Linked DNA regions of Cricetulus griseus. The protein of the gene in region 2 interacts with the protein of the main gene of each other region in a pairwise test. Links are inferred from orthologs where the notes say so. Each region holds a gene or a part of one and is shown on either strand. Other genes may lie near its edges.

The links.
Region 1: the proteins of Katnal1 (region 2) and Katnbl1 interact in binary tests that used the Homo sapiens proteins (3 or more experiments, as listed by UniProt). The two-hybrid records come from large-scale screens. The link is inferred for Cricetulus griseus from reciprocal best matches to the Homo sapiens genes KATNAL1 and KATNBL1.
Region 3: the proteins of Katnal1 (region 2) and cytochrome c oxidase copper chaperone interact in binary tests that used the Homo sapiens proteins (3 or more experiments, as listed by UniProt). The two-hybrid records come from large-scale screens. The link is inferred for Cricetulus griseus from reciprocal best matches to the Homo sapiens genes KATNAL1 and COX17.
Region 4: the proteins of Katnal1 (region 2) and Klc4 interact in binary tests that used the Homo sapiens proteins (3 or more experiments, as listed by UniProt). The two-hybrid records come from large-scale screens. The link is inferred for Cricetulus griseus from reciprocal best matches to the Homo sapiens genes KATNAL1 and KLC4.

What each region holds. Positions count from the first base shown.
Region 1 is NC_048599.1:65,977,112-65,983,215, forward strand, and holds the start of Katnbl1 (KATNB1-like protein 1), read right to left. Parts: upstream 3,883-6,104; 5' UTR 3,732-3,882; intron 1-3,731.
Region 2 is NC_048597.1:84,712,943-84,718,437, forward strand, and holds part of Katnal1 (katanin p60 ATPase-containing subunit A-like 1), read right to left. Parts: intron 3,883-5,495; coding exon 3,748-3,882; intron 1-3,747. UniProt on the Homo sapiens protein: Regulates microtubule dynamics in Sertoli cells, a process that is essential for spermiogenesis and male fertility. Severs microtubules in an ATP-dependent manner, promoting rapid reorganization of cellular microtubule arrays.
Region 3 is NC_048597.1:51,783,046-51,789,222, forward strand, and holds the start of cytochrome c oxidase copper chaperone, read right to left. Parts: upstream 3,883-6,177; 5' UTR 3,790-3,882; coding exon 3,683-3,789; intron 1,696-3,682; coding exon 1,611-1,695; 3' UTR 1,607-1,610; intron 1-1,606.
Region 4 is NW_023276806.1:256,060,896-256,067,174, forward strand, and holds the start of Klc4 (kinesin light chain 4), read right to left. Parts: upstream 3,883-6,279; 5' UTR 3,750-3,882; intron 3,574-3,749; exon of another isoform or gene 2,828-3,573; intron 2,208-2,827; 5' UTR 2,184-2,207; coding exon 1,926-2,183; intron 585-1,925; coding exon 354-584; intron 1-353. Other genes in the region: Mrpl2 (39S ribosomal protein L2, mitochondrial), read left to right, coding at 4,078-4,167, 5,144-5,309, 6,022-6,163, 6,276-6,279.

The DNA.
Region 1 (6,104 bases), on a different chromosome or scaffold from region 2:
AAGGTATGCCTTTAAAATCTGCTTTCCTGAAAATGTGGCCATAGATAGCTCTGTTGGTAGTGTTTGCCATACAAGCACGAAGACCTGAGTTTGATACCCAACACCAACTGGAATAGTGCTAAAGAGGTGGCTCTCAGGGGCTTGACAGGAATTGGAAAGCCCCAGGTCTCAGTGTTTTCAAAAAACAAGGGCAGATAGCTTCTCAGGAACATCCAAGGCTGATCTCTGCCCTCCACATACACAGCTGGGATGCTGAAACACAAATAATAAAACAAACAGAAACAAGAAAGGAGGTTTTTAATGGTTTTCTAGACTGGGAAATCCAAGATTCAAAGGCCACATCTAGTGAGGGCCCTCTTCCTACAATAACATGGTGGAGGGCAACACAAGTGTGGGGTATGAGTGAGAAAGTGGAAAAGGCAAGTAGAAGAGGACAGAGCACAACTGGAACTCCAGAATTACAGAAGCCATGGCATTAACCTATTCATGGGCATGGAGCTTATGACCTCAATATCTCCCACTAGACAACAACACTTAACACTGTCAATGTTACCTATAGTCATGTATTGAAGCCTTGAGCCCAGCTGGTTGTGCTATTTTGGAAGGTGTTGAAAACTTTAGGTGGTGGGTTAAAGCTGGGGGAAGCAGTTGCCCACCAGGATGCCTATCATCTTGCACTACATCTTGTCTCCAGGCCCTTCCTGTCTTTGTCTCTGTATATGTTGTTTGTCTGTCTTCCCCCACTCACTGTCACAATATTTTGCCTTGCCTCAGGCCCAAGCTATGAATTCAGTCAACACTGAGTTAAAACCTCTGAAATTGTTTTTCAGGTATTTATCACAGTTACCAAAGAACTAACAGTTACAATGACAAATTAGTTTTGAAGGGTTCATTTACACAACAGCAATCAAGTAACATGACTGATAAAACACCAATACTGATTGGTGTATTTTATGACATTCTGTATGAGCCACATATTTTTAAAGATAATTTCCCATTCCCTCAGTGAGAAGTGCAGGTGGGAGTTGCACTTGCGAGGCAGAGGCAGGAAGATCTTTGTGAGTTTGAGGCCAGTCTAGTCTACAGAGTTCCAGGATAACCAGAGCCATTACAGAGAAACCCTGCCTCAAAAATCCAAAAAAGTTAGGTTTTAAGACACAAAAACTCAAAATTAGCCCTTTAAACTCTCTGCTTCATGACCAACCAAGATTAATCCCAGCACTCGAGAGGCAGAGGCAGGTGGATCTTTTTAATTCAAGGCCAGCCTGGTTTACTGAGCTAGTTACAGGCTGACAGCCAGGACTATACACAGAAAACCTGTCTAAAGAAAACAAACAAAAAAATATTAACAGTGGTTTTATTGAGGGGCAAGTGTTTATAACTGATTTATTTAAACATTAAAAATTGATTTAAAATTATTCATAAAATATTTGTGTGTGCGTGCACATGCTAGACTATGAACAAAGGTCAAAGGGTAACATTAGAAAATTGCTTTTCTCCTTCTACCTTGTTGAGGAAGGGTCTCTCGTTTTTTTTACCATGCCGTAATATTACTACAGATTAGGTGGCCCTCAGGTTCCTGTGATTCTGTCTCCCATCTTTCCTCTGCCTCCCATCTTATGGTAGGGATTAGAGCCTTGTGACTCCTTACCTACCTTTTGGGGGCCTGTGGGGTTTTGTTTTTTTTATTGTGGGTTCCAGGATCAAACTCAGGTTATCAGACTTGCATCCTACACTGACATTTGGAGTAATTGTTTCTTATGGAGATCTGATTGTAGGATGTTTAATAAGTACTCCAGAGTCTGTGGTCAACAGATTGACAGTATCACAAGAGTCTCACATCCCCAAATGTCCTATGGAGGGGGAAAAATGCACTCAGTTGAGATCCACTGACATAAAAGTTTATAAATTCCCAAATCCGTGTGTGTGTGTGTGTGTGTGTGTGTGTGTGTGTGAGAGAGAGAGAGAGAGAGAGAGAGAGAGAGAGAGAGAGAGAGAGAGAGAGAGAGAGAGAGAGAGAGAGCTCATGGACATGTCTCATTTACAACATTCCCCAGTCTTGCTTCATATAATATTAACCAACATGAACTTCCAAAAGACCAGGCTAAATGTTCCCAATAAGTCATTTTTTTTTTCTGGATTCCCAGTCTTCGAACAATTTCCTCGATAAAATACCCTACCTCTCCTTCTACTAACTGTCTTATATAAGCTTTTCAACTGTTAGCTCTACAGTACTTACTGAGTTCAGATTATCACTCAGATACCCACTGCACCAACAGAGAAGAGTATCACATATGTTTTTGCTACTAATTTCACACCAAATTAACTTCATATTTGTTACCTGGTACATGTCTTGCATATAGCTGACTAGACTCAGTACTGTGCTGGACAGTGAGGCAATCAAAACCTTGGTAACCGATGAAGGTGGTTTTAAAGGTTTGGGTATAAATAATAGTGAACTGTTGACTACTCATGAAGTGGTTTGCTTTGGGATTGCATTTCTTTTCATGGAGTTATTAAGTACATTCATTTCAAATACAAAATAGTGTACCATAGTTTTAAAAAAAATGTTTCCAGCTGTTCTCCACAATCTCTAAAAAATGAACCTACAAACTTTATGACGTCCATTTATCTTAAAAACAATTTTGGGGAAGGGGCTCGGGCATAAAACTTAAGTGTGGCCAATATGAGCAGATACTGTCACTGGTGTGAAGATTGATTCGTGTGTACACAAATGTATACTCACTTAAGAATCTCCGAAGCTGAAGTAAATAAAAAGACAACACTTTGTATATTAGTAAGAAAGAGGCTGAGGAGGCAAACGATGATAATAACACTACCTATTCCAAAGCACGCTCTTAAAACAACTCAGCACACAGAAAACAAAATAAATATTGCTCATCATAGTTTATTACTGACCAGGTAAAAGCCTCCGTGCATAAACTTCTGACTCGAAGAAGCTGATTTAAAAGAAAGAAGAATAATCTTGAATGATTTTACACAAGTTGCAGGTATTAGAAGGACTCGTGTCTCAGAATGCTTTAAAGCACGAAATTGGTGACAATTACCGAACTAATTCCTCTCCCAATTACTTTTTTCCTCCGTATCTGCAAAGAAACTGATACAGATGTTTTCAAGGCACTTTATAAGCCACCAGAAAACAAATCAACTCTTTGTTATCTCCGTACGTAAACCCAGTTAAGCGCCTGGGTACAATTACAGAGTAACTTTTCAGAAAGCACGAGGAGTTTTAAAAGTTGCAGTCAACAATTCTTACGCAGCTATGTCAAATTTCTGTCCTGAGAAACAAATTCCGATCTGTCTGGGAATCAAAAATTCCTCCGAAAATAAGGAAATGCCTCAGCCGGGCCTAGACGGCTCTCGCGAAAACCTGTCCTCCTCGCACAGCGATCCTCTCACGCGCCCCGTCCTTCCCTGTGGGGTGTAGACGTCGACTCCACCCGAGGACCAAGAAATGACAGCAGGTTTGGTCCACGCCTCTCCCGCCAGGACCCCCGAGGCCTGCAGCTCCCAGCTCCCAGCCGTGGCCCGCCCGGGGGGTCCGCGGGAGACCGGCGGCCCCACCCGTCCGCGCCCCGCCCCGACCCCGCCGCCTTGCCCGGGAAAGGCCGCCGCCGCGGGGCCTGCAGGTGGGCCCGGCCAGCCGCTCGAGAAGCCTGCGCACGAGCGAGCAGCAGCGGAGATCCCAACCCGGTGCGGCCGTCACTTACCGGCGCCTCATGGTAGCGCAGCGCCTCAGCCCAGCCACTGTGCTGACGAACCGCGCCCGGCAGCTCGGAGCGTCCCCGGGATCCCCAGCCGGGCCCCACTCACAGCCATTCAAACACCGCCGCGCGCGGCCCGCCGGGATAGCTAGCCGTGGGCGTCCGCGGGCCCCGCCCAGCGCAAGCTCCGCCCCCTCGGGTGCCTGCGGGAGGGGGGGACAGGGCGCGTGGCCGCGGCGCCCCCTAGTGGCCATAGGGGCTCACGGACGCTTTGCTATGGCGGGGTTAAGAAGGCTACTAGAACAGAGGCACCCAGGAAAGAAAGACCCTGGGGGCTAGGGATACTCTAGTAAGGGACTACACCCGGGCCTCAAGGAGAGATGAACATTTATTCTCATTGAAACGACCAGGATATAGTGGTTAAAAAGCGTAGACTCTGGAACTGTGAGACTTTAAACAAATCACAGGAACTTAGTGTGTGTGCTTTTGATTTCCTCGTCTGTAAAACCAGAATGATAACAATGTATCTGCCTCTTAAGGTTGCTGTGGATAGCAAATGGGTTGATACAAACAAAATTATTCCGAGAGTACCTGGCTCCTGGTAAGCTCTACGTAATTCCTGACTATCTTGTTTTGTTTCCTGTTATGTGCCAAACTTCGAGAATCTCTTTAACAGTTTTTAGAAACTTTATTATTTAAAAAATACCTTGCAACTCCAAGCCTCCAAAACTCACAGACTGCTGCAAGAAACTTAAGACAGGAAATGTGCATATTAAAGGCCCTCTTCTTGGGAAGCAAGTTTAGTTTCATCAGGGCAGGAATGTTTGACTATGAGATTAGGATTGGTTCTGTCCCCGGCACATTTTTAATTACTGAGAACAATTCTCTTGATAAGAGTCTAGTCAGGGTAAGCCACTGGTCAGGGTTAAAAAACCTGAGATAGTAAGATTGTCTTGTACGGTGGTCTTCCCCTGTGCAGAAGTCAGAGTGATAGTCCCGATACATCACACTGAGTGAAGTTATGAAAGGTATATCCTAAATACTGTGGGCATACAGAGCACTAATTGGAGCTAAGGGGCCATTAAGTGATTGTAATGTAATGTATTTTCCTTCTGTAGTAACGGGGCGCTCACTTAACCCCCCAAAATAAGTAATAATAAAAATTTGAAGCAACCATTTATGACAATGGGAAAATATTTTTAGAACACTGTGTGAGCAACGTCTTTGAGACTTTCTCAGATGATGCCAAGCACAAGCAGGCACATGTGTGGCCACACCTGTTAGCTCCCGCTGGCTGAGTGTGTGAAAGGAACTGGGGCAAGACAGAGTATTTGTGAGCATGGCTTCTACTAGGTAGGTGGTGGTGTTTTAAAATAAAAAGTTAACACACATGAAGTCACTTTCTCTCAAGGTATTTCTTCATCATCATAAACATGAATTTCTTGATAGCCTACCAAGCAATAAAGATCATTGCTGTGCCCTCAGTGGAGGAGAATCAAGAGAGTAAGACATGTTGCTTATCTCAAGAGCAGCTGGATGGTGTGGTAGCAAATAGTAGAGAGCCAAGACTGCTTCATTAACATTAATCTCAGAATTAAGGAGTCCAAGCCAGATGGTGGTGGCATACACCTTTAATCCCAGCACTTGGGAGGCAGAGGCAGGTGGATCTCTTTGAATTTGAGGCCAGTCTGGTCTAGCGAGCAAGTTCCAGGGCAGCCAAAGCTACACAGAGAGACCCTGTCTGGAAAAACAAGCAAACAAAAGGAGTCCAGGTGCCTAATGACCAGAAAAGAATTTCAATGTTCTCACTTATGAACTTGATAATTACAGAGTCTCAAACAGGTTCTTTTCTAGACCCAGATTCTAAGGTTTACACCAGTGATGAGCTGCCCAGGTTTCCCAGCTCTCAGACTTTAGCATAGAGACTGAAGAAAGCTGTGCTGGTATTGAAACTTTTGAAATACATAACAATCATTCCACTTTGATATTGAAAGCATCAATACTTTTCCTATCGATAAAGTTGAATTTTTTCTTCATAACCATAAAGTTTGGTTGTTTGTTTTTATTAAAGAAGTATGGCATGGACCTGGGGAAATGCCTCAGTTGGTGTATTTGCAAGCACAAGGACCCGAGTGCAAACCTCGGAATCCATATTTTAAAAGCTAGGTGTGATGGCAGATGGTTATAATCCCAGTGATGAGGAGGTGGAGACAGGTGGGTGGATACCTGGGGCTCCCTGACCAGCTGGTAGACTACTAAAAAGGGGAGGGCGACTGAGGAGCATAGTGCCACTTGCCTTTAAACGCTGGCACCCAGGGAAAGAAGCAGGCAGATCTCCGAGTTCGAGGCTAACCTGGTCTACAGAGTGAGTTCCAGGAT
Region 2 (5,495 bases):
CCATGACTGGCAAGATGGTGGCTATTAGTATAAGTCTTCAGTTCCCATGTGGGCTTCCCCATGGTTGCCAGAGGAACTCATGTCATGGCTGCTGGCCCTCAAGGGACAAAATAAGGCAGAAAATATTCTTTTTCTGACCTAGGTTTAGACCTTAGCATCGTTTCTGCCACACTCTATTACCACCCAACCAATGTCGGGAAGAATTCTGAGAAATAAAGGGAAGGAAGAGACAAAAGTGAATGAGACAATGATGAAGAATCCCAGCAAAATAACAGAAACTATTTAAAAACTGGAAATGAAAGATTTGCAAAGCAGACCTAAAATGAAAATTCACAGGAAAAGAGACTGCAGAGGAAATGCTCGGTAAACAAATGTAGAAGGAGCCTATCAGGAAAAGGGTTAGAAGAAACAAATAGCACCCCAGTGATGGTTGCAGTAGGACCAAGATGTCCAACACACATGCAGAACAAAGAAAAAAGGAAACCCCACATTACAGCCAACTACTAAAATACAAAGTGCACCATCTTAAAAACAACAAGCAAGTCAGTGACCAGCCTGTTGCTATAGCCAAACATGTATCACCAATGTCACTTCTCAGCATTGATGCAGGAGAAACTAGAGCATCTGCCACACAACCAACCAACCATCAATGCTCATAGCAGCCTCATTCACAATGGCCTTAAACTAGGAATGGTCTAATATCAACCACTGGGAATGGAGAAAGTCTGTGATATGTCCACACAATGAAACAAACAATGAAATATCAGCCCAGGTGGGAGAAGGAAGGCAGACTGGGAAGGGCTCCAGAAGCCTCTTTAGGAAGAAAGGGTGGACTTGCTTCTTGGTATATGGTCTCATGGTGGTACACAGCTGCCATAGCTCAGCATCTGATGTGAATAAAGTTTATTGTGTCTAAGTCATTCCTCAGTAAAACTGATTTTTAAAACAAAGAATTAACCAGGGAGGAAAAGATACCCCTCAACATACAAGGGGACAATGACATGAATGACAACTGACATCACATAAGAACAGGCTCAGAGTAGCCCAGCAGCACAGGGAATAAGAGGCCCTAGATGCTCTTCCTCCTGATCTGGGGAGACAATGTCTTAACCTCACCAAAGCTCAGAACCATCTAGCAAGCCACAGCGTGAACTTTGTGGAAATGGGTGAGAAAAGCCGCCTGGCTCTGCAGTTAGTTCTTCCCCCTAGCTAACGGCTCCTAGGTTAAGGAGGAAAAGGCCAGCTTGGAGCTTCCCTTGGGAGGGAATGAGAAGAGGGAGGCATGTGCCCCACATTCCAGCTTCCATAGCACTGCCAAAGGACTTGACTCCGCTGGCTCAGGCTTCAAGCATAAAGGAAGAAGAATCGGTACCCCTTGGCCTGAGAGCCACCAGGAACAGAACTCGGCAGCTGCTGCAGCCCCAGAACCTATGGCACCTTGAATAAAAGCTTGCACAGCTCCACAGGGCTGGACATAGTGTCCCCTGGGAGGAAAGAGAAGAGTGGAGCATGTGTCTGTGTCCGGCATCCAGGAAAACTGTCCGGGGCACTGATTTCCAGCTCACAAGACTGTTTTGCAGGGAGGGTTTACTCTTTTGAGTTTCACTTTCTCCTTTTCTGAAAGCAGAAACAGAGGACCTAGTTGAGGCCTTTCTTCTTTCTTAGGTGCAAATGTTAACATCTGTGACTATTTTACGCACACTGACTCCCATGGTTACACTGATCCAGAGGTGTTACACAATGAAGAACACTTAGGGAGATTTTACTTTCACTTAGTTGCTTCATTTTCCTTCTGTCTATAAGAGCTGTTGTGGTGACTCCTTCATTCCTAATACTGGCAATTTATCTCTGTTGTTCTTCATTATTTCTCTAGAGATTTGTCAATATTAACATAATGAACAAATGTTTGCCTTGTTAATATTCTATTTCATATCTCACATTTTTCTAATTTATTTCCTCTACACATTTAAACTAATTTCTGTTTCAAAGTCTAACATAGTATCTACTCAAGCCTTTTTCAAGGTATGCATTTACAGACCTTAAAACACTATGTTGGCTTCATATCACAATATTTAGGGTGACATATTTTTCCTACCAAAACACTATTTTCAATTTTTCCAATTTTCTTTGACCCTTCTGTTATTCAGAGCTAACTTGTTTAGTAGTAAAATATTGGGGATAATCTAAATACCTTATTGCTAGTTCCTAATTCAATCCCATTACTATCCGGAATATACTCTGCAAGATGCCAGTTTCTAAGATTTTTATTAAATTGAGAAAAGTCCTCTCAGCAAATGGTACTAGAACTGAATATACTCATGGAAAAAATAAAAGCCCACCCCACAATTCAAGAGAATCACAGGGCTAAATATAGCTTCTAAAAGTAAACAGAAGAAAGCTTTACAGCCTAGGGGTAAGCAGATATTTTCTAAGATACAGGAAGCCCTATTAATAAAAAACAAAACAAAAAAACCTTTAAAAAAAGGTCTTCACAAATTAAAATACTCTGGCTACCAAGAAAGAACATTAAGAAAATTGAAAACTAAACCACAAATTGGAAGGAAAAAAATTATAAAAATGTAAGTAAAGAGAATTTATATAAAGCATTAATAAAACATTAACTGTTATAAAATGAGGGACACAGTACATAAGTTCACAAAAAGGTGGTCAAGATATAAGTCATCAGAGGAACCAGATTAACCACAATGAGATGCCATTTCACATCAACAAGAGCAAATAAAACGGAAACACTGCCAACAGCAGCTATAGGCAAGGTTGCAGACTGCCCTTCCCATTTATTGATGGTGACAGTGACAATACAACATGTACAACCACTCAGGAAGACAGTTTGAGTATTCCTTATAAAGTTAAGTACAGCTGCCTTGTTAGAAGTGAGCAAAGCATCAGTCTTATAAAGTTAAACACACAGCTCCCCTGACTGACTAACATATCCCATTCATACTACCCAAAGACCTAAAACAGTCATCCACAAAAATATGTATAAGGCTTAAAGCTCTACTCATAATAGCCAAAAACTAGAAGCAATTCCTGTGCCCATCAGAGGGGACTCAACACACAGCAGCATCGTCACATGGACAAGAAATCACTGATAAGCACACTCATACATGCAAATCTCAAAGACTTCTGCAGGACGAGAGTCACTAGACACTGACTGTATGCTGTCACCATACTGTTTACACAATGCTTCGCAAGAGAGAAAACTGGCCTGTGGTGATGGAGGACCAGGCAAATCGCTTATGCAATAGCCATTTAGATGAACTGCTGGGACATCCTTTCTAGGATACTACACTGATTGAACATGATGACACATTTCAGAGAACCAATCATAACACACTTGAGATATACACTTCTCAACGACATATATATTTATCTCAAAGGAAAAGATAAAAATAAGAAATAGGAAACTTCAACATTCAAGAGAAAATCACTTTTGAAAGTCCCCAAGACAACTTTTTTAATATTTAAATTAGGGTTAATGGAATCCAATTTTAGAAGTAAGAACTGGAGTGCTACCAAACTTACCAGCACAAGTACTGCTCTAAGACTAAGGGTTTCTCTGAAATGCAAAGGACTTCACAAGGGCTTTGTTTCTGTCACTCAGATCGTCCCCCTAATGCCACAGAGCTCTTCAAACAAAGTGACAGTGAGACAGAGATTTAAATAAATAGAAAAGGGTTAACAGGAAATGACAGAAAGTTCCAGATCCAGTAAAAGGAAGCATCATACCTGTCGGTAGAGGGATGTAGATCCTTTTTTCTAGTCTCCTTCGAAGAGCTTCATCAATGTCCCACGGGAAGTTAGTGGCAGCCAGAACCATCACCATCTTGGACGGATCGTCATTTTCTAAGGCTCCTCCGACTCCTAGACACAGGGAGCAGGGAACAGGCTATCAATGTTTTGTGATGTCCACTTCAGTCCTTTCCCTCAGCCAGCCTCTCTAAGTGTGAGCCACAGCCCTCAAGTGATGCACCTTCACCATCTCTGTGACCTTGATGGAGTGGCAAAACCAGACATCAACACAGAACAAAACAAAGGGGCTAAAGAATTTGACAACCTAGGGCAGGGCTCTTCCAATCTGTATTTAAGAAAATAGTGCATATTGCTTCTGAAAATTCAGGCTGGGGTCCACTTAGTTCTTTAATGTTTTCACTATAAATTACCTCCCCCCACCTTAGTTTTGGGTTTAATTTAGTTGGCTTTCTCAAGAAGAGAGAACAGCTGACACAGAACAACCAAGGATCTGTGTGCATTGTCTGCTTCTTCACAATTAAACTCATAGGATTAAAAACTATCCAGGCATGGCAGTACACACTTTTAATCCCAGCACTTGGGAGGCCAGCCTAGTCTATGCATTGAGTTCAAGAACAGCAAGATCTACAAAATAAAGAGAACCTAACTCAAAAACAAAACAATAAAAACAACAACAAAACCTTTGAGAGTGTACAGTTGGCTCTGGGCAATACATAGTGAAATATTATTCATACATATGTTCACAAATGTGACAATTTACCAAAGTAGTATATTTTGAGCAACCCAGTTCAGCATGCATAATAAATAAGTCATTACTAAATGTCTTTTTAAATAGTTCTCGTGAGGAATAAACCTCTCCAGCTAGTAAGCAGCCATGATACTGTCCAATGAAATCCTGCTGGCTGGATGTTTATTCAGTGATGCACTGACCCTAATTTTAAACACCTCATTTTCTGCTATGCTTTTCTCCTAAGTAAAATGTGGTCCTTCTGTTCATATATATGCAAGAGCTGAAATGGTACACTAACTGAGGGACAGGTCACCTAGCACACAGTGCCATTGTTGGTCTCTCAATGCCTGATATTGTGTACCACGTGATACGAAGTACCCATCCTCAGTGTAGTGCTTTGAATAAAAATAGACCCCATAGACTGCAATGCTTGAATGTATGGTCCCCAGTTAATGGAACTTTTTGAGAAGGATTAGGAGGTGTGGCCTTGCTAAAGGAGGTGTGCCACTAGAGGTGGGCTTTGAGATTTCAAAAGCCCAGCCCAGGCAGGGTCTACCTCTCCTCTCCTTTCCTCTCCTTTCCTTTCCTCTCCTCTCCTCTCCCTCTCTCCTGCTCTCTCTCCCTCTCTCCCTCTCCCCCTCTCCTCTCCTCTCCTCTCCCTCTCCTCTCCTTCTCTTCTCTCTTTCTTCTCCTCCTCTCTCTCTCTCTCTCTTTCCTCCCTCCCTCCCTCCCTCTCTCTGTCTGTGTCTGTCTGTCTGTCTGTCTGTCTGTCTGTCTGTCTGTCTGTCTCTGTGCCTGCAACTTGCAAATCAGATGTGAGCTCAAGCTGTTTCTCCAGCACTATTCCTGCCAGGTTCTAATCCCCACCCCCCCACACACACACCCATGATGATAATGACTAACCCTCTGAAACTGTAAACAAGCCCCCAGCCAAATGCTTTCTTCTGTAAGTTGCCTTGGTAGTGATGTCTCTTCACAGCAATAGAACAGTAAC
Region 3 (6,177 bases), about 33 Mb from region 2:
GCAGGAAAAGGAACCAGAAATGGAGTTGTGTACCATTTCAACAGCCTGCCACACCCTGACTTCATGGTACTGGCTACACAAATCAGAAGGGGCTGGCTGTGAAAGAGCCAGCCCTGATTAACACCTATTTAGGTTTTGAATCAAGGAACTTTTGTGATCACTGCTGGAACAACCCAGTTTGTAAAGTATTTTTCCTCTGAAGAGGTTCTCAGAAAATATGGTCTATCAGTCTAAGAGACACACCAATTTGATCAAGCTCATCTCAGAGCAGGGCGGGTAGTTGTGCTGGAGTTTACTACAGCCAGGGGCTTGGCTCTAAGGTATATGCTCCCATGCATTCCAGCAAGAGCTCTTTTTCATTAGCATTCATTATAAGTCTTAGTATTGAAGATTAAGGTAATGTACGATCCCAAAACTGGGCATGCTGGCCGTAAGAGCTCACAAAGTGTTAGGAGGAAAACACACAGTGCCTCTGTTCAGAGAATGTAATCCCACCACTGCCCTTCACTGTGGCTCCAAAATTCCCCCATGATGCTCTAGGCAAAGCTTAACCTAACAGTGGAGAAAGAGCTAGAACAAAAAGGCCATGTACATACAGGTGTTGGGGCCTGTGTGTTTAAACACTCTTCTTCTCCTGTTACACTTCTTATGGGTAAGTGGCACTCATCTCCTTTCTATACTTCAAAGACCATGAGGAGTCATGTGTGACATTCCAAAGAGAGGTGAAAGAGAAAGAAACCAGCTCTCCACTATTATCAAGCTGGCATGTGGCTTTGCTATCTTTCTGATGTTGCTAAATTAGGAGTGGCAGTGAGGTGTGACCTGAGAGAGGCACAAATAGAATGTTTGCCTGGAGGTGGAGGTTCCCTCCTTCTGATCCTGCTAAGCCCACCTCAGGAATCCTGCTACACTGAACCACCACTAATTCCCTATTCATTCACACATTCACTTAATGAACAGTACCCTATCCAGCACCTGCTATGCGCCAGGCAGTGTTCTAAGTGCTCGGGGACAGGCTGGGAGTGAAACCGGACGCTTCCCAGAGCATACATCCTAGCTGGAGGGAAGCAGGGTGATCATTGTAAGAAGATGCTCAGAGTACAGGTGGTGACCATAAAGACAAGAGTAGCTGCTAGCCACCTACAACTGTTAACCTTTTTCTAAATTGAGAACTCAGTTCCCCGACCTCATTAGGCCCAATTTAACTGCTAGCGTTTACCATTGGAGAATGTAGCTACAGGACGCCTCTACCACCGTAGGAAGATATGGCTGGAACAGTGGCAGGGAAACATGCTCCTACTTCACATGGGGCATGGGAGGGAAAAGCCTCACTAACAAGACCTTAATGCAGACTGTGATGTAACTCCAAAGGCTGTTGTCAAACCAGTTCTCAAAAGCTTAACACTCGTGTCTCAGACTTCCTGGTTGCTCTCAAACTGTTGCCATCATTCACCACCCCATACTAGGAACAGAAAAGCTACCTTTAAGTGCTATTGAAACACGCTAGATTAATGGGGGGGGGGGGCGCTACCTTCTCGGAAGAATGCTGCCTGGCAGCTAACTCTGTAGAGTAATACACAGACTTGAAGCAATGCGGTTAACTCACCACGTCATATCTTAAACCCCAGAGCTCTCATGCACTCCTTGTGGGCCTCAATGAGATGTCCACAGTGTTCTTCTCCTTTCTCAATGATGCTGTAAAATAAAGTGCATTGGTTACCTAATAAACTGACATTAAGCACATTGGTGGGGAATATGACAGCGCAGGCCAGTGAGTCAGTGAAGTACACAGAATGTGGCTGAAGTCAGAAACAAAACTCTACTATACCAAACAGCTTGGCTCCTTTGCTCCCTGTATTTGTTCTTATGATGGTTCCACAGAAATAAGGTTCTGAGGTTTGTTTTTGTTGTTGTTTGGGGAAGGTTCTAACTAGGTGAAACAATTATGCATAGCAAATGGTATCTTTAGTCTATACTCAAGGAATAATAAACATTTCTTTAGAGTGAAATAAACTGAGTAAAATATTTATATTAAATGAAGGGACGAGGTTAACTTGTGGGCCCATTATTGTACAGAAACTAACTTCCTGTTTCTCCTTACATTCAAACACACTTAAACCTACTTTTAATCATTAAACACCCAACAACATAAACATCAAAAAAGATCTGGTAGCTACAAGCCACAAGATGAATCCTTCGTTGAAAGATTAAGGGACATTTTACTGATAAAATCTACCAAGTAACTGTAAGAGCTAGAATGTACTGACTCAACGCCTAAAATCACATCTGGAAAGCTAGGGCTGAAAAAATCCTGCATAAGAGGCCAGCTTGGGCTACATGTCAAGATCCTGTCTCAAAGGAGTTGGGAAATGGGAGTCTACTATTAAAATCCTTACCAGCCAATGAGAGACTGGGTGGGATGGACAACCTTACAGAAATGCTGGACTCATTCAACACACATGGGTAGCAGACATGTGTTAAGTACCTTGTACAAAGTCACCAAGTCAGAGGATCGGTCTTCAAGGTCTGTCTGTATTTCTAAGCTCCTAATCTTGACATCACATTTCCTAAAGTTTCCATAAGCAGGTATTACTATTGCAGGACCCTCAGTATCAGACAGATCTTTAAATTCTCCACTTACAGTATGGCTTGCAAAGTAGTGATGATAATAGAGTGTACTAAGGTACACTCTTACTATCTTACTACATAGCCAAATAATTTCTCTTTTGTGTATGGCTTTTTTTTTTTTTTTAAGACTTGGTCTCACTGTTGCTCAGGCTAGACTTAAGCAGTGGCAATCCTCCTGCTACAGTCCCCCCAGTAATGAGATTACAGGCATGAGCACCGTATCTGTTTCTACTATCACTTTTCTACTTTGATGGGACAGATGGAGACATATAGTCACATTAACGGAGGACTCCTAATGAGATCTTCGCCAGAATCTGCGACATCATAAAAGTGAGATCAAACAAAACCTTTCGTGACTTGGTAAGGTAAACATTAATGTACCTATATTGTAGACAGGTTTTAAAATGTATGTTTTTATGTGTATGGTTGTTTGGCCTACACGTTTTTTTGGTACACCATGAATATGCAGTGCTCGTAAAAGCCAGAAGAAGGCGTCGGACTCCTCGGGGACTGGAGCTAAAGAGTCTTGTTAGCGACCAGGTGGGTGTTGGGAATCGAAGCCAGGTCCTCTAGATGGGTAACCAGTTCTCTTAAAACACACAGCCATCTCTCCAGCCCCAGACAGGCTGCCTTTTAACCTTCGGCCCGTTAAAAGTGGAAAGGGGAGCCATACAAAAATGTATCCTGTGTCCTACTACACGCGCACGTTTTGGAAAAATTCTTAGAAATTACCTGACTGTTTTACACTTTGGCCTTGCTAAGTGGTATAATGATGGCTGTTCCTTTAAGCCAAAGCATACGCACTTCTATACATCCGGACCTAATACCCAGGAAGGGTCAAGGGCATGGTAGCAAGGAATAAAGGAGAACCTTGGGGCCAACCTGACCTCTTGCCCTCTCCCGTTACCCTAACAGACGGAGGTGCGCGTTCAGGGAACAGAGGCGGCTGCGAAGCTATGGGTTCCGGTCACTCCGGAGTGCCGGAGAGCAGAGCGGAGCGGAGCTGAGCTGAGCCTACGGAAGCCCGGCCGTCCCTCCCCGGCTGCGCACTGACCACGCATCGCGCGCCTTCTTGGTCTCCGGGCAGGCGCAGCACGGCTTCAGCGGCTTCTTCTCCTGAGCCTCAGGCGGGGCAGGGCTGGCGGCGGCCAGACCCGGCATCTTTCCAGCCGAAAGCAGCGGCGAGCGCACACGCCCAAAGATCCCAAGCAGTGGCCAACCTGAGTTGTCTGCATCCACTTCCGCAGTCACGCTAAAGAGGGCAGGAAGTCCCGCCTCTCAGAACCGCAGAGAGCCTCAGATGCGCGTGTGCAAAATAAGCGGGAGGAGGGAATTGACCTCAGGGCGTGGCTTCGGGCGCAGGCGCAAAGGTGAAAAGGTCGCCAGAATGTTTTCTATTTTGGAGACTGTTAATTTAATTGCAACATTTTTCCCTTTCCCTTTCCTCCCTACAAACACATATGCATACCCCTTCCCCGCTGTCCTTCAAATTCCTGGCCTCTTTTTTTTTAAAACTGTTATTGTACATATATATTCCTAAATATAACATATTCAGTTCAGTACCTGTATGCATGTTTTCAGGATTGACCTTTCGTCACTAAACAACCAATTTTGTGTGCTCTTCCCTGGGGAAGGCCTCCTTTCCATTCCCAGCTTTCCTCTGTTGCTTCACATAGAGTTGAGGCATCATCGACTTCTCCTTCGGATTTGACTTGCTCATTTCACCCAGAGTGTTAAAGTGTATTTGGGCAGGTCTTGCAAAGGTGGAGGGTAGGGAAACAGCTGAGAGCTAAAACCCTAGCATGGATATTGAAATGAGAGCCGAAGAAAACAAAATGACTTCTCTGAGAGCCATAAGAGAGACCATTAGTGAAAGCCAGTTCCTTTGAGTACCAGATCCTGGGGCATCTCATGATCGCCTTCATTCCCCTCCCCCTTCACGTTGTTCAATCTATAGATGTTGGGGGCAAAGGTCTCCTACCTCCTATTCCTCTCAGGCATATACGCTAAATCTTCAGCTAACACCCCATGAAATAGTTGTTATGAAAGAAGAGCTGAAGGGTTTTATTTTTTGTCTAGTTTCAACTGTCATGCTCTGTCTCTCTCTCTCTCTCTCTCTCTCTCTCTCTCTCTCTCTCTCTCTCTCTGTGTGTGTGTGTGTGTGTGTGTGTGTGTGTGTGTGTGTGTGTGTGTTGGATAAGTGAATAAAAAGGTAACTGATTCTGAAAGTGTAAAACCCTCCATTGCTTCAAACCGGCCATTCTAACTCTATAGAAGTTCACTAAGATGGGACTGGGCACATGCTTGTGTGACTTCCTTACACTAGCTTTGAGCTAATGGGAGGGAGGGTTGTTATTTTTAAAAATACAAATATTTTAGACAGGGTCTCTACCCTAAGCTCGATGACCCTGAACTGATCATTAAGTGTGAGCCATCCAGGCCTGGATTAGAAGGGCTTCCCGAATGCTAGGCTCTATCAACTGAGTTATGTATCTTCAGTTCCCAAATGGTTTTAGTATAAATTGTCCAATCATATATTTGTCACTATGCCAATTAATAAAATTAAAAATATGTTTTCCTGACATTTCTTAAATCTGAGTAGGAACAGTATAATCTCCAGCACAGTAGCTTCCATGTAGTGCTGAGTTTGTGAGTCATTTAATCTTCATAACAAACTGAAGTTCTGGGATGGATGTCATTTGTTCAGAGTTAAGTAGCTCCCGAGGTTCTACCTCTCCTGGTGTGGCATTTACTATCTCATGCAATGTATCTAAATGCAAAGTAACTTTTATTTTAGAACCGCTAACCTGTATTTTCTTGTGCTACTGCATCTTGTAAGTATATTAAATGAGCAAGAAAGAAAAAGAGAGAACTGAAAAATTTAGGGAATTACGAGGATTGAGTTTGATACAAATTGTAGGCCAAAAGAGGGAAAAAAGAAAAACTAAAACTTTTTGTAACTGATGTTTTTTTTTTTCATCCCATTTTTCCCTTTGTGAAGGAAAGTTCCTGAAATGAATCCCACCTCACTCTGAACTTCCTGCAAGGCTGATCAATTGATTAGAACTTCAATGATGTAGGGAGGGTGGAATATTAGTCTACAGTCAAGTTGTCTTGGAGCAGCTTTAGTTAGCCCCCTTAGTTGGCTTTTATTGCCCCTTCGGTACATGACCTCATATCTTTGTGAGCATTAGGTAAATCCTTTGGAATATACAAACAGACCCTCTAGTTCCCACCAACCTAAAGGCTAAGACTACTATCTGAGAGTGACTATGGCTGAGATTTCCTCACCTTCTTGTGACTGTCTACCTAATGTTTTTACCACTATATTTGGGGAGTATTTTGATTTATGATTTTTTTGATCTTTTACTTAAAACTACATGAAACTGTTGCCATATTGGAATGTGGAATTTGGAGTAATGTGAAACTGTGTTCCCATGGCCATGGCCATTCATATCTGTCTCCAGAATAAACTACCTCTTGTCCTCTTTGATGTGAGAGTTGTATTTTTGTGTTGAACCCCCTTTTTTTCTTAACAGAATTGGTATT
Region 4 (6,279 bases), on a different chromosome or scaffold from region 2:
TGAACTGCATTCGGTTTGAGAGAAAATTGTAAGGGAGTCTCCTGCCAAAATCGGCTATGCTTTCCCTAACCAAAGCCTGTAGGATTCAGGGTTTCAGTTGCCTGACTATTTACCTTGCTCCACATACTCTTAGCTGTGAGAACAAGTACTTCCGCCCAGTCCCTAGGAGAGTAAACATTTAATTAAGGTTGACAAGTCAAGATTATTTCCCCCTTGCTGTCATCTGGAGTTGCTGTCAAGCCTGAAAATAAAATTCTTCCAAGCGGGTACACGCTAGGCATTGATGTTTCCTGTGGGATGATGGGCAACTGCGCTGCTCATGGTCCCAGCAAACCCTGGTTGTGCGTGCTCACCATGCTGTGCCCATCCTCATCATACTGGCGCAGCTGCCTCAGGAACTCCAGGTGTTTCTTTTCTTCCTCCAGCTGGGCCACAGCCTGTTCACTACGCTGTAAGCGCTGCTGAGTGCCCGCTAGCTCATCTCGAAGCCACTGGTTCTCCTGGCATAGCCGCCGCACTTGAGCCCGCAGCTTCTGCTTTTCCGACTCTACTGTGCTCAGGTGGCTGGCCAGAGCCAGCATCACCTACATGGGAACATCACATAAGAGCATTCAGGGGAGAGATGGCCTTAGGAGAGATGGCCAGTCGGGAGAGGGATAGAGGAAGCAACAAGCAGGAGTGACTGGCAAGAGCTCTACCATCGAAAGATCCTCAGAGGGGCTGGAGCAGTGCTTCTCACTTCCCTAATGCTGTGACCCTTTGATACAGTTCCTCATGTTGTGCTGACTCCAACCATAAAATTATTTCATTGCTACTTCGTAACTGCAATTTTGCTACTGTTATGAATTGTAACATGAATATCTGATATTCGACATAGCTGATATGTAACCCCTGTGAAAGGGTTGTTTGACCCCAAAAGAGATTTCAATCCATAGGGTTGAGAACCACTGGACTGGAGAGCTGGCTCAGTGATTAAGAGCAGTGGCTGTTCTTCTAGAGGACCTAGGTTCAATTACCAGTGCCAACATGGTAGCTCACAAATGTATGTAACTCCAGCCCGAGGGGATCTAATGGCCTCTTCTGGCCTCTATAGGTACCAGGCACATACATATTATACAGACATACATGTAGACAAAACACCTATATACACAAAGCAAATGACTTAAATAAAAAAAGATACCCCAAACCCTGCTTCTTTTCACCAGTTCCATTGTTTTCATCAGATGCCACACCACCAGTTCCCACCTACACAACAGCCTCTCACGGGTCTCTCTACTGTCTGCCCCACAAGACAGGATCTTAGGCTGAATTCCATCACTCCTTAGAACACAGCTCCCATGTCTCTCAATGGAAAAGCAAAGACCCTAGGACAGCCTACCAGCTCTGCATGACCTGTTCCCATCTCCAATGCCATCCCTCTTCTTCCCCTCATTCATCACTCATGCTGAGAAAGTCACACCAGCCAGGCTCAGTGGAAGGCCCTTGCACTTGTCCTCCCTCCTTGGGACCTGTTTCTTCCAGGGCTTGCTCCCTTATCCTCAGGTCTTCGCTCAAATGTTGCCTTGTGAATGAGGCCTTCTATGTACACTCTATATAAAACTGCATCCTCTCTTTCTTTGCTTTATTTTTATCTTTGTGTCCTTAGCAATGATTTCTCTGGCACAGTAAATCATTCACTTATTTATCTATGTCCTATCTGTCTGTCTCTCCCAGCTATAATATCAGCCTCAAGATGGCTAAGAATTGTACTGTTGTGTGCTGTGATACATCACTGGCACTCAGAAGAGTTGACACACAGTAGGCACTCCATAAATATTTAACGAATGAAACAAATCTAAGTTCCTCGGACAAGGAGACCCCAGCTTGCATCAGCTAACCGAGCCTCTATGGACTCTGGAACACTTGGCATCACCTGTAACTCTTACCTGGGCCTCACTCAGTCCCAGTTCAATGTTCTCCATAGACCGTCGCAACTGCCGGGCCTTCTCATGCACCAGCCCTTCCTCATGGCCTCCCTGCTGCAGACACTCAATGGTGTGGGACAGGCTCTGCAGCACAGCCTGATGCTCACTGTGTAGGGCCTCCAGCCCTTGGCTCACCAACCTGGTACTGCCCAGGATCTCTTCTTGGCTGAGCCGGTGTCCTGAGGGCTCATCCCGCTGCCCCAACACCAGGCCTGACATCCTGGAAGGGGGATCTTGCCCGGGCTAGGGAGAAACCACAGAGTTCAGCTGGTAAAGATGGAAGTCATACTGTTAGAGGGTGTCAGGGATCTAAGTAAAGGGAAAAGAGTATGAGAGACCCTGTAGGTGAGCTGACGAAAGAGAAAGAGTAAACATAAAACTAAGGTGAGAGAGAAGAGATAACTCGACTGTAGAATGAACAGGCATGCTTCGAGTTAGAGGAATTTAGGGCTTAGCAGGTGGAAAGAGAGCATGGGTTAGGGAAAGGCAGCAGGACATCTGAAGCATTTCATTGTAAGGGTCATGGAGGGCACTCCGGAGGAACGGGGTTAAAAAAAAAAAAAACAGGATCTGTGCAGAAAACAGCACCCCAGTAGAGGGGCAGGACTCAGGGTTAGGGGAGACAGCGAGAGAGAGCGAGAGAAAGAGAGAGAGGAGGGGGGAACAGAAGTCCTCATTACAGGGAATCTGGAAGGCTGAAGGTCTTCAGGCTGCGTCAGCAAAGCACCTAAGCCCAGCATCTCCCAACCTGGTTAGCTCCATTGCAACTAACCAACCTTCAGACCTCGCTTGCCACCCCCCTCCCCGCCAGGGCTCAGAATGTCTTCCTACTTCCTCAAAACTCATCTTTGAAGTCTCCTTACCTGTGTAAAGAGCAGAGCCCTTGGCTTCAGGCGGCTCCCAGGCCTGAGCCCGGAAGAAACTCTCAACTACAGCTAAGGATTTAGAAAGATCTGCACTGCCCAAAGTCCAGAAGTCCGGCAGTCCCACCCCCTCGCTCTCACCACTTCACAGCCACCCAGAGGACCGGCACGGGGCCCCACCCAGGACAAACACCCTCCCTCCTTCTGCCCACAGGTTCTTCAGAGAGCAGTACTAATGTCCTTTCTTCCGTAACTCGGTCTCCTCATTCCAGGTCTGAGGAGTTACTTTCTCCCAATAAGGGAATGAAAGACTGATTTAATCTGAGACCTGCGGCCAAGGGTGTGCCTGTGAAAGGCTGAGCAGGGAGACCTGGTGAGGATTCCCACCTGGATTCCCGCAATAGGCTCCTTTCATGGCTTTGTCTGTCATGATCACCTAACCGGTACCTTAGGGTGCCTCTCAAGTGCCTGATGGATGGTTCAGGAAAGCATAGCAGATCTGAAAGCACTGTGGGGTCCCAGGGAAAGGCGCTGGGCGCCGGCTACCCTGGCCGGGGCTGCAATTCACGAGTGCCTAAGGTTGCTAACTTGCGCGGAGGCAGGCCCCAGGTTGAGGACAGTGACGCAGGCAGGGACTGAGGGCAGGAAGGTAGGAGTGAGGGCAGAGTCGCCGGTCAAGACCGGACAGCGGACAAGCTCGAGGTCATGGAGTCAGGCGATCCCGCAGTGGGCGGGGCAGGCTGTCCTACTGTCCGTCTGGACGCCGAGGGGCGGGGAAGACTCGCGGGGGGCGGAGTTTTTTAGTCAGCCTGGAGTTTTGGGAGGCTGGTCGGAAGTGGCTTATTCATCTGTCCCCGGAGTGTGGGTGTAAGAGTTGGTACCATGTTAACCCTCAGCCCCAGGGGTCCTCCCCAAGACTCACCTGCAGGCTGTTGGTCCGACCGCCGCCTTCGCGGGGACTGCCCCTTTAAATTCATCATGGCTGCCGCTCGAGGCAATTGTTTTGACGGCTCCGAGGGGCGGGGCCTGTCCTCCAGTCACGCGACCTCAGCGCCCGCCGATAATTGGCTGAGAACTCGCTCTTTAAGGGAGGAAAGGAAGTGTGTATCCCGGGGGCGCTCCAGTTAGGGGCCCGCCTCTTGCGTCATCTGAAAGCGACAGTGCCGGGAATGAAACGTCATCCAAGAGCATCAGGCTCTGCAAAAGGGTAAAGCGTGCAGAGTTGCGAGGAGTGTGACCACCCCTTGGGCATGTACGCGCTCACTAGTGCTCTGCGCTCTCTGAGCCTGGCATCCCCGACCGTTACCGCCCGGGTTCCGACTCTGCTCCCCGCTGCCCAGGTAATCCACTCACCTGGGAGCTTGACTGGTTCCGCCCGGGTTGTCAGTGATCCGGCGAGGCTAGTCACGATCACGTGACCTGGGTAAACCTTCCTTCATCTTCTGCTCTTTATAAATGTTGCTCTCAGAGGAGATACGGGCCTTAAGTGCTTTTGCAGATCTCTGCTAAACAGGTGCCCGCTGTAAACGGGCAAAGTAGACGGCTGCAATGAACGAACTCCTTTCAATCAAGTTACTATGCACATTTTGCAGATGAGAAAACTGGTCAGTAGTCTAAGGTCATACACTTTTTGGGGCTAGACTGGGTTCAGAGCTTCCTTTTGTTTTTGTTATGGTGCTGGGAATTAAACCTGGGACCTTGCTCATGCTATGCACTCCTGCTATGCACTAAACCACCCCAAAGCCAGTGCTCTTAACCATCGTAATGTAAGGATGGCTTGTGGCTGAGATTGGAGAATGCAGAATTTGTAATAGCAGTGAGCAATGCTGCATCACAGAAAAGAGAAATTACCAATCTTGCTTCTCTTAAGTTCTCAGGCTGAGTGCGACAGAATTTAGTAAATGCATATTTGATATTCCAAAACAAACCAAACTACTCTGAAGACCTTGGACTACAGCAGGTGGAAGGTGGAAAAGCAGAGTCATCATTTCCATTCATATGTGGGAATTCCAGGAAACATGCAAAGGGCAAAAGGCATTGGTACTGACAGTGGTGTGTGAGTGTGTGGAATTTACCAGCTTTGGAAAAGGGAATTCTGTAGGGAAGAAAAGGTTTCCTGACAAGAACTTGAAACAAATTGGAAGATGATGACAGGAAGAAATTTTTCAGAGGGGAGAGGGCCAAACGATTACCACACACCTGGACAAACAACACACACACACTTGGATAAACATATTGCACTGGTATTTGTGAAAGTTGGTTGGAAGTTTGGGGGCAGTGGTCTGAGATGCTGCTGAGAATATTTCTTATCCCTAGATACTGAGCAATGCTCTTCAACAGCCCTCTGCCTTGGTGTTGCCTTCTCACCGCCCAGTGCATACATCCGGGGACCTTAATGCCAAGTTTGTGTCCTGGAAGAGTTGCACCAAGTACACAGTTAAACCAATGAAGATGAGGAAGTCTGGGGGTCGAGACCATACAGGTGGGAGAAAGGATCTGAAGCATTGAGGAGGAAAATGCCTTAGGATCCTAAATGTCTGTAGTAGTGCACTGTAGCTCGTAAGATGTCAGATGTACAATTACAAAGCCCTCAGTGAGGTACTTCTTAGTATGTGGGTTGAAGCTGAAGAATAGACCACATAGAACAGTTAATAACAGCTAAAGTTGCCGGGCGGTGGTGGTGCACGACTTTAATCCCAGCACTTGGGAGGCAGAGGCAGGCGGATCTCTGTGAGTTCGAGACCAGCCTGGTCTACAAGAGCTAGTTCCAGGACAGCCTCCAAAGCCACAGAGAAACCCTGTCTCGAAAAACAAAACAAACAAACAAAATAACAGCTGAAGTTATGTGAGCCCAATTTATATTCCTCTCAGGAAACTTACTGAATTCAGTAATTTGAAAAGACTTTATCTGTTTCATACAATTTTCGTAATTATATTTTTATTGAGTCATGTGTTATCCCATCCCTTTTGCCAAGGATGCCGTGGCTCCCTTATGCCCACATGCTGTGGATCAAACCTGAGGCCTCAGTGCTTACAAGGCAAACTCTACCACTGAGCTACACTCCCATCCCTTTGTCATTTTTCTGTTTGTTATATAATATTAAGGGATACTAGTGTCTAGTCTAGGCAAGGCCTGTTAATACTGAAAGCAATTCTAACCTGAATTATATCCCTGAACTGTCTTTTGACTCTAGGCCGTATCCGAGTACATGGTATTGGTGGGGGCCACAAGAGGAACTATAGAATGATTGACTTTCTGCGGTTCCGACCAGAGAAAGAAACCAAGCCAGAACCCTTTGAGGAGAAGGTTGTCGTTGTCCGCTATGATCCATGTAGGCAAGTTTGGGATGTGAGGTGGTGATGGTGTGGTCTGAATTGTTATTTTGTAGCTTCTTAGAAAATGTGGGCCTTCTTGGTGGTCCACTTGTTTGTCCATCATCCTGAACAGGTCT